Linked DNA regions of Arabidopsis thaliana. The protein of the gene in region 1 interacts with the protein of each later gene in a pairwise test. Each region holds a gene or a part of one and is shown in the gene's direction. Other genes may lie near its edges.

Region 1 (4,704 bases):
TGCCACGGGGTTGTTGCTTACAGCATCAGGCCTTGAGACTGTTGTATTTGATATGATCTATAGGACCAACAAAGACAGTATCATCATCATCATCGAAAGCTTTTATGATTTGCAACATACCATACGTACAATCGAAAAAAGAGACTATTCTAACACTTTAATCGCTTTTACTACACTACGTTAAACAGACTGGAGGCTTCATTGATTGACACTGATGTAACATAAGTTAGTTCATAAGAGGATAACTTACCAGCCCATCCAAGTGCAGAGCAAGAGCCACCTACACAAACCAATACAATGTTGTAAGAACCAATTACTTGAAAACTATAGAATGTGTTTTAGCTTTTTTAGTACTACGTACCGCTGCAATATCTTCAAGCTCTCCTCTGGACAGATCAGGAGCAATCTTCACAAGAAGAGGAGGAGGACCTTCATCACCCCATTGCATCTCATCCCGAGCAGCTTGAACCTTCTTTACAAGGTCCTTCAACTGTTTCCTTCCTTGAAGCATGCGCAGTCCTGCAGTATTGGGTGATGAAACATTGATCACCTGAAGAGAAAAATGAAAATTAGGAACAAAGAATTCTACGGTGGATTAGATCAAATTCATGTTCGATATATCATGGTAAGAAGTTTGTACCAAGTAATCAGCATACTGGGATAAGTTATGAACTCCTTGGACATAGTCAGCAGCAGCATCCTCACTCGTCTTGTTCTTTCCAAGGTTGACCCCAAGAATACCAGGTCCAGATTTTCCCCCTGGTTTTACATCATCACTTGGAGATGACGAAGTAGCTGATGTTTCAGCCAACATTCTTTTACCATGTTGAGCACCCAACCGCTTTGCAACGACAACAATCCCTTCGCTATTAAATCCACACCTATTGATAATAGCTCTGGGAGGACCAAAATATAAGTCTTTTAGTTTAAACTATCTTGCTTCTTCAATCATTGAAGGTCTTTTATAGATTAGAGATTCTCACCCTTCTTGGCTTAGTCTGAAGATACGTGGTTTCGGATTGCCTTCTTGTGGAACAGGAGTTACAGAGCCTACCTCAACAAAGCCAAATCCCATCCCTAGCAGTCCCTCAGTAGCCTCAGCGTTTTTGTCAAATCCAGCAGCAAGCCCAATTGGGTTTGAGAATTTCCTTCCCCAAACTTCAAGTCCCAAGATTGCTGGATCAGGCCTCTTTTCTCTAGGTACCCACCCGCGAGCTGCAGCTGAAACAGCCAGCTTATGCGCAAACTCAGCATCCAGAAGAGCAAAGAAAGGATTCACAACCTTTGTTGCGTTGAATAGCCACCCACTGTCCAACACACAAAATAGGTAAGAGGTAAAAAACAAAGTGACTTCCTCAAAGTAACTACAAGGTAGCCTTAGCAATGTCAACTAACAAAGAGAACAAAAAGACTAAGTTTCAGGGCACTTATTAAGTAAAGTACCAGAAGGTTGCTTCATCTGCAGTACTAACATAAGCTCCTCCAGCTATGGCCAGACCAATGGTAGCTCCTGTCAATATCCTTCCCTATAAATTTTCAAAGTCAAACACTTTGCTCTTGTAAAATGAAATAGCATCAATGATCTAACTCTACTACACCAATTAATGTGCCATATTCAGATCAAAACAAGAGTTGCAACTCCTTATCTTAAGGAATAAGATTCCAATATGATTCGAATAAACCAAAAATGAGATTAATTTATCAATAAATTCATCAAAGCTACTCACTCTCTTGGAAAAATGAGGGACTTTCGGTGCAGAAGAAGCTCCAGGAACCGAAGAACAGTTACGGGTAGCTCCAAGAGGATTAGACGAAACCCTTCTGAACAAAAACTCTCTCGCCCATTTCGCCGACGACGTCGCAGCCCTTCCGGCCATTAGGTAAGATGATTAAATCGACAGTGGAATCAAACAGAGTTCGAAAATGGTTGCTTTGAAATCTATAAGAAGAGGGTTTTAGCCTTCTAGCTCACGGCTTGAATCTTGATAGAGAGAAAAATATACGCTTTTTGTTTGTTGTTCGGTTACAAAGGATCGTCAGAGTATTTGCTAAAACCCTTGCTTCCTTCAGGTTGATCTTTCCGGTTCGATTTACCGGTTTAATGTAGTTAACCGGGGTAAAATCTTATATGTTAACCGGTTTGAAAAGAGATTGATAAGGAAGGCCCTTTCTCTGAAAAAGCGAGACCAAGAGTGCGAAGTAGCTCTCTGTCTTTCGAAGCAGAAGTGAGACTTTGACGACAACAGTGGGAGGAACTATGAGTTCTTGTGTTGTGACGACAAGCTGTTTCTATACAATTTCAGATTCTAGTATACGTTTGAAATCCCCCAAGCTCCTCAATCTGGTTCGTTTCTTTGTGTGACATGGAAATTGCTGTGGTTCTGTTTCACATGAATCTATCTCTTTTAAGCACTAAAGCTTTCAAATTTCGTTTCCTTATAGAGTAACCAGCAGAGAAGACGCTCTCTTAGGTCTCGAGGTGGTTTAAAGGTTGAAGCTTACTACGGTCTAAAGACACCTCCTTATCCACTTGTAAGTGCAAATAAGACTTTGGTATTTGTATTTGGATTCTAAGTGTAGTAACTATGTCTTGCTTCTGTAATCCAATTCTGTTCTCGACTAAGCACGGAACTGTAGAAAGTTTGTTAATTTGGGTGAATTGTCTTGTGAGTATAGGAAAGATTGTGTCTTGATCTGTGTATCTTCTATCTTGCAAAGTAGATGTGTCTTGATCTTTAGGGCCTTGGTGATATGTCAAAGAAGATGGTATAGTTGAGATTCTAATTAGAGTTAAAAACAAATGTGAATAGGATGCTTTGGAGCCGTATATGAGTAGAAGAACACTAGAAGTGCATTGGGGAAAACACCATCGAGGTTATGTAGATAATCTGAATAAACAGTTAGGGAAAGATGATAGACTCTATGGATACACCATGGAAGAGCTTATCAAGGCTACATACAACAACGGGAATCCTTTACCCGAGTTCAACAACGCTGCACAGGTACTTTATATTCTAAGTAACTTGTACATTATCACCCGAGGCACACACTAATGTTGGAAGGATTGATGATGATTATGTTGTTGTTTAGGTCTATAACCATGATTTCTTCTGGGAGTCGATGCAACCTGGTGGTGGAGACACGCCTCAAAAGGGTGTTCTTGAGCAGATTGATAAGGATTTTGGTTCTTTCACAAATTTTAGAGAAAAGTTCACTAATGCAGCTCTTACTCAGTTTGGTTCTGGATGGGTCTGGCTTGTCTGTGAGAAACTTGACTAGCTTTTCACTTGGTATTAAACTGTAGAATGACTTTGAAAATGGAAAATTTTGATTCTCTTTTTGTTTTTTTCTGGAAAATTTCAGTAAAGAGGGAAGAGAGAAGGCTTGAGGTGGTCAAAACCTCAAACGCCATTAACCCACTCGTGTGGGACGATATTGTATGTTAGAGTTTTATTAGTTAGTTTTCTTGTTGAACTTAATGTTACCTCTTGATCACATCTCTTTTGTTGTTACAGCCAATCATCTGCGTGGATGTGTGGGAGGTACACCATCTCCTCTCTTCTGTCATTCTTCCAAGAAACACTTTGAAACATTTTCTAATATCTTTCGTTTTCTTATCTTACTTTGCAGCACTCTTATTATCTGGACTACAAGGTAAAAACCTAGCTTAAATTCCGACCATTCTGTGTTCTTTTTGTTCGTTCAAAAGGCTAAATCAGTGTTTGTTTCTTTCTTTCTCCGGTTGCTAGAACGACAGGGCTAAGTATATAAACACATTTCTGAACCACTTGGTGTCGTGGAACGCTGCCATGAGTCGGATGGCCCGTGCAGAAGCGTTTGTGAATCTTGGTGAACCCAACATCCCAATCGCTTAAGCTAAACACAACTCCTTGGAAACTTGGGCAGTCTCATTTTTGCAAACAGAGGTCTCAAGTCCCAAGTCCCAACCAACAAAACAAGAGTTGCTTTCTGAATGTGACCCATCTTTTTGTTCTGTGTAATTTAGCGACAGTTTTCTCTTCTTTTGCCTTTTGAGAGACTCTCTAGCTTTAAGATCATCAGTGAGCCCTGTATGGTGACAGTAATGTTAGTGACGCAATTAACCCTTATTAAGTTATAATAAAACGAAGGCTGGCTCACGTGACCCGCACGTGACTGAGAGTATCCGTTTCCTCTTCTTTCTTTTCTTCTTCTTCTTCTTCTTCTTCGTCTCCTGACAATAGGGATTGACACCATCGTTCACTTCAACGTAAAGGTATAAACTTTCTTCCTCCTTAACGTCAAAGTTTCACGCGATCGTCTCTGTGGAACTCCCTCAGCATCGGGTAATTCCCTGATTTTCCCAACTCGCTCTCGCGGAAACTCTCGATTTCGATTGGGCTCTTGAGGTTCTGTTCATTTCCTCGTCTATGAATTTTCTACAATTGATTAGGAGTCGTGCCCATAACTGCGTGAGTAAAAAGGGAAAATTTTCTTAAAGATAAGCAATTTCAAGCTTTGTGTTCGTGAAATTTATCCTTGTATGAAACTTGCAATGCGATTGTTGTGTTGGTTGGTGGGTTTTCTGTAAAATCTCAATGTTCATGTAGGACCTGGGTTTTGGCAGATTCAGTGCCATAAAGACTGTAGTGTTAGTCCTCATATTACATTTGTATGGTTGCTAAATGGTCAAACTGATACTAGTATAACTCAGAGATTACAAGA
Region 2 (4,193 bases), on another chromosome or scaffold:
TTTGAAGTTTAATATATGGTTAATTACATCATTTAGATATATTTATCAAAAACATCTCATCCATACTTAGTAAGTTAATATTCATATCAATCTTTAATATATATTATGAATATATGTCATAATAACATGGCAGACGTGAGACGACCAATAATAAAAATAACTTAATGCCAAAACAAATTTATATGATGAGATTTATGAGTAGACTCGTTAAAATATTCCTCAGTGAAAAAGTATTGCATACCTCAATGAAATTGGTGTGAGGTCCATAAAAGAGAGTTCAAGAAAGAAAGTACACATATTTACATTTTGAGTCATCGAAGTTCCATTTTACAAATATTAATACGTCACTGAAAAATGAAAATACCTACAAGAAGATATATGTGTACTGTGTAACTGTAACAGATTGGGTGTAAGAAATCGAGAATTCTTTTACTTCTTATTAATAAAGAAGATAAAAACACATGCTTTTATGCAAACTATATAAAAGAAACACAAAACAAAATTACATTCACACATGGAACCAACTATACAATAAAACATTGCAGTTTTCAATGGGCCACGAGTCTTAATGCATGTGAAACCAGTGATCAGTGACCACGTGTTAGGCTTTAATTTGTGAATTCCATATGATCCAACAATTTAACAATATCATCTATTCTAACTTGTATAAATTTATTTCGTCTAAACTGAGCCTTCTTAACCCCAAAGATTTGGCAATCGAGTTTATGAACTCCGATTTTATCTTACTCACACATTCTAAACTATAGGAAGAATTTCTTTATATCTTCCACCCATTGACAAAGATCGTACTATGTAATAAATTAGACCGCAAACAATTAACTTTATAAGAATATACCTTGGATAAAAATAAAAACAATAAGAGAACAATGTCAAAAACAATCACTAAAAACTTTTCTTTTATTTCACAAAACAAAAACTTTTCTTGAAGGTAAGTGAAAAATATTTAATTGATTGTAGAAAAGACGTTGTTCTTTTTGTTTACGGGTTTCGGGCTACACCGTCGTCACCTGAGGCGGTCTATATGTTTGTGTCTTCGAGGCTGTCATGATACTAAAAGATTAGAAATAGAATCGAAAAATTCACTTTGTAGAAAAGTTATATATTAGCTCGAAACAAAACAGTTAGACAATAGACGTACCTCGAATTAATACGTCATCCTTATTAGATTCTTTTTCTTGTGTGTGCGAAACCTTATTAGGTTCTTCACACCGTTTTTCACAAAGGTAACGTAAGAGACGACAAATCAACACGGCACAGAACACCAACAAAAACACAATGCATCCCAAAATAATCTTCTCCATATCGTGTCTGCTTCTTCTTCTTGCATACAAATTATATTTAAACACTAGTATGTGTACTGTTAACGAGTTTACATTTTGAGGTCAGAAAATATTCCATTTTAGGATCTTATGACTATGTAAAGTTTACATATTTTATCAATGTTTCTAATTTGTGATCACATTATGGATATTGTGATCACATAACGAAATGGGAAAATGCCAAAAAAAGAACATATCCAACTTTAAAATTTGCCAAAAATATTTCAAATTTTTCATTAACGGAGGCGAGGAGCTAGGTATATGAAATTATGAATATTTCAAACGACGCTGTTTCGATTATATAAACTAAACCAAGTATCGGGAAAGATAACCGATCCAAATCAAGGACAGTAACACAAACCGAAATAATCCAAACCGGGATTATACAGACAAAGTGGATTATAAGAGCAAAAACTCAGTTACCAAAAATTTCTGCGAATTTCGTTTTGAATTTAGGAAACGAGAGAAATGAGTTTCTTCGCTGTTGCTTGCTCCGCGCCAAGATCTTCTATGCTTCTCACCGGCTTGAATTCGAGCTTCTCTGATATGCATCGCAGCCCACTATTTGTTTTCCCGGTGACTATATCATCCCGGAGCGTGAAACGCTTCGCCGCTGTTTCGTCTGATTCCGTACTAGACCCTGAATCCAAAAATCAAACTCGGTCCCGTCGCAAAAATAAGGAAGCAGTTACGCCAATTGCTGAAACCGAGAACAATGAAAAGTTTCCGACAAAGGTCCCGCGTAAATCGAAGCGTGGGCGGCGGAGTGAAGCAGACGCTGTGGAAGATTACGTGAGAAGCTCCCTCGAGCGTACTTTCTCCACCATAAAGGAGCAGAATCCGGAGGTTTTTGAGAACAAGGAGAAGGCGAATTTCATCAAAGACAGAGGCGTTGATGAAGAAGAGGAAGAAGAAGAAGAGATGGTGGTGGAAGAGGAAGATCCAGATTGGCCAGTAGATACAGACGTTGGATGGGGAATCAAAGCTTCGGAGTATTTCGATACACATCCAATCAAAAACGTGGTTGGAGATGATGGGAGTGAGATTGATTGGGAAGGTGAGATTGATGATAGTTGGGTCAAGGAGATCAATTGTTTGGAATGGGAAAGCTTTGCTTTTCATCCTAGTCCACTCGTTGTCCTTGTATTCGAGCGATACAAAAGGTATAAGCTTTGTTATTTCATTGACGAATTTTCACAAACACTTGGTGTGCATAGTAGAACTATGAAAGCTTTGTTCTTTTTCCTTCACAACATTATCTAGACTATGATTACAAGTTGAAAGAGCCATTTGAGTTAGATTCCATGATCAATTAACTGCAATGAGTATAAAAACTGAAACTTGTTCTTAGAGTGACCAAAATCTACTACTGTTGGAATAATTTTTTGAGTTGTTGTGCGTTTTATAGAGCTAGTGATAACTGGAAGACATTGAAGGAGCTTGAGAAAGCTATCAAAGTTTATTGGGATGCGAAAGATCGATTACCTCCACGGGTATGTCGAAAGCCTTCTCTAGTTGCAGTTTTAACTTGAACATTACTCTTTGTGTACTAATCTCTCTTGGTGTGATTACATGTTAATGTGGCTGCTCTCTGTTAACAAGAATCACCATGTTTTATGAAACAGGCGGTTAAGATTGACCTGAACATCGAGACAGATTTGGCATATGCTCTTAAAGCTAAGGAATGCCCACAGATTCTCTTCTTACGCGGAAACCGGATTCTGTACAGGGAGAAAGGTGATAAGCTATGTTGCTAACGTTGTTTTCATGTTTTTTTGCAATATGTGTGAGCAATAGATTATCATAGCGTATTGAACTTGATGCAGACTTTCGCACGGCGGATGAATTGGTTCATATGATTGCGCATTTCTACTATAAAGCGAAGAGGCCTTCGTGTGTCGACAAGGCTAATGTAACCCCGTACTGTTAGTTTGTAACGGGCATAGAGTAGTTTCACTCAAAAGGTCAGTCTAGGAAAATTTACATAAACTTCACTCATAGATTGTTAACATTTTTGTATGTTCTATGCAAATATAAACTTGTTCCCAAGTAATGGATTTTACTCGTCAATCTGTGCTTTCCCTAACACGTTGATTCGTAACCAATGATGCATACATATATCAAGAAGCCAGCTCCTTTTATAGAAAAATTGTTTGAAGGATAAACTATTAATGCAAAAATCCATAACATAAAAACAAAAGCATTGAATCAATAAGAAAAAGCAAACTAAAAAAAAAATGAATTCCACAAAGCTAATCTCATAATGACTAAACCTAATGTGTTTAGTCTCTTATCAGTCAAGTAGCTTCTTCCACTTGGCGTAACCAACGGTGACTATGAAAAGCACAATGCAAAGCGCAACGACAGCCCACACAACGTAACCAAAGATGTCAGGTGTGCTATACAATCCAATTGGTATATTCATACCGAACAAGTTGACCACCACTGTCCCTGCAGTTATTGCATAATTGCCTATATTCACAAGCATCATTAGGTGGATCAGTCCGTTACGTCTACTATTCTGTAGTATCTTCACGTAGGCTTCTGTGCTGTCAATATGCTCCTTCATCTGCAATTCAAAAAAATATTAAATTACCAAGGACCGGGCATTAACACATAACAACCAAACATAACCCGAGCTTGCATCTAAAACTTATATGGTTTTCTTAGACCTATTTAGGTACATTTACTACTTACCAAAAGAATTTTGTTCCGCATTCCCTCTAGTTGCATGAAGTATGCCTCAAGCAACATCTCCATATCATCAATGTCATCTTCCTCCGTCACCATACTGGTGCTTATTCTGTTTGATGTGTGCCGTTGAAGATTTGGTTGGGAGACAATGCTATTTGA

The links.
Region 2: the proteins of FSD3 (region 1) and MRL7 interact in a two-hybrid assay, tested with the Arabidopsis thaliana proteins (one study listed by BioGRID).

The regions. Positions count from the first base shown.
Region 1 is NC_003076.8:7,848,367-7,853,070, forward strand, and holds FSD3 (Fe superoxide dismutase 3), read left to right. Parts: upstream 1-2,077; 5' UTR 2,078-2,257; coding exon 2,258-2,344; intron 2,345-2,442; coding exon 2,443-2,532; intron 2,533-2,810; coding exon 2,811-3,002; intron 3,003-3,090; coding exon 3,091-3,262; intron 3,263-3,363; coding exon 3,364-3,437; intron 3,438-3,515; coding exon 3,516-3,542; intron 3,543-3,630; coding exon 3,631-3,654; intron 3,655-3,749; coding exon 3,750-3,875; 3' UTR 3,876-4,168; downstream 4,169-4,704. Other genes in the region: PYRD (pyrimidine d), read right to left, coding at 1-57, 251-280, 362-550, 641-896, 984-1,307, 1,444-1,526, 1,728-1,877. UniProt on the Arabidopsis thaliana protein: Destroys superoxide anion radicals which are normally produced within the cells and which are toxic to biological systems. Plays important role in chloroplast development, particularly in the maintenance of thylakoids membranes.
Region 2 is NC_003075.7:14,124,444-14,128,636, reverse strand, and holds MRL7 (polyadenylate-binding protein 2-binding protein), read left to right. Parts: upstream 1-1,554; 5' UTR 1,555-1,808; coding exon 1,809-2,503; intron 2,504-2,748; coding exon 2,749-2,833; intron 2,834-2,965; coding exon 2,966-3,077; intron 3,078-3,166; coding exon 3,167-3,270; 3' UTR 3,271-3,425; downstream 3,426-4,193. Other genes in the region: MGT5 (magnesium transport 5), read right to left, coding at 3,634-3,909, 4,038-4,193. UniProt on the Arabidopsis thaliana protein: Plays an essential role in early steps of chloroplast development. Involved in the regulation of plastid gene expression. May positively regulate plastid-encoded RNA polymerase (PEP) activity through binding to FSD3 and CITRX/TRXZ.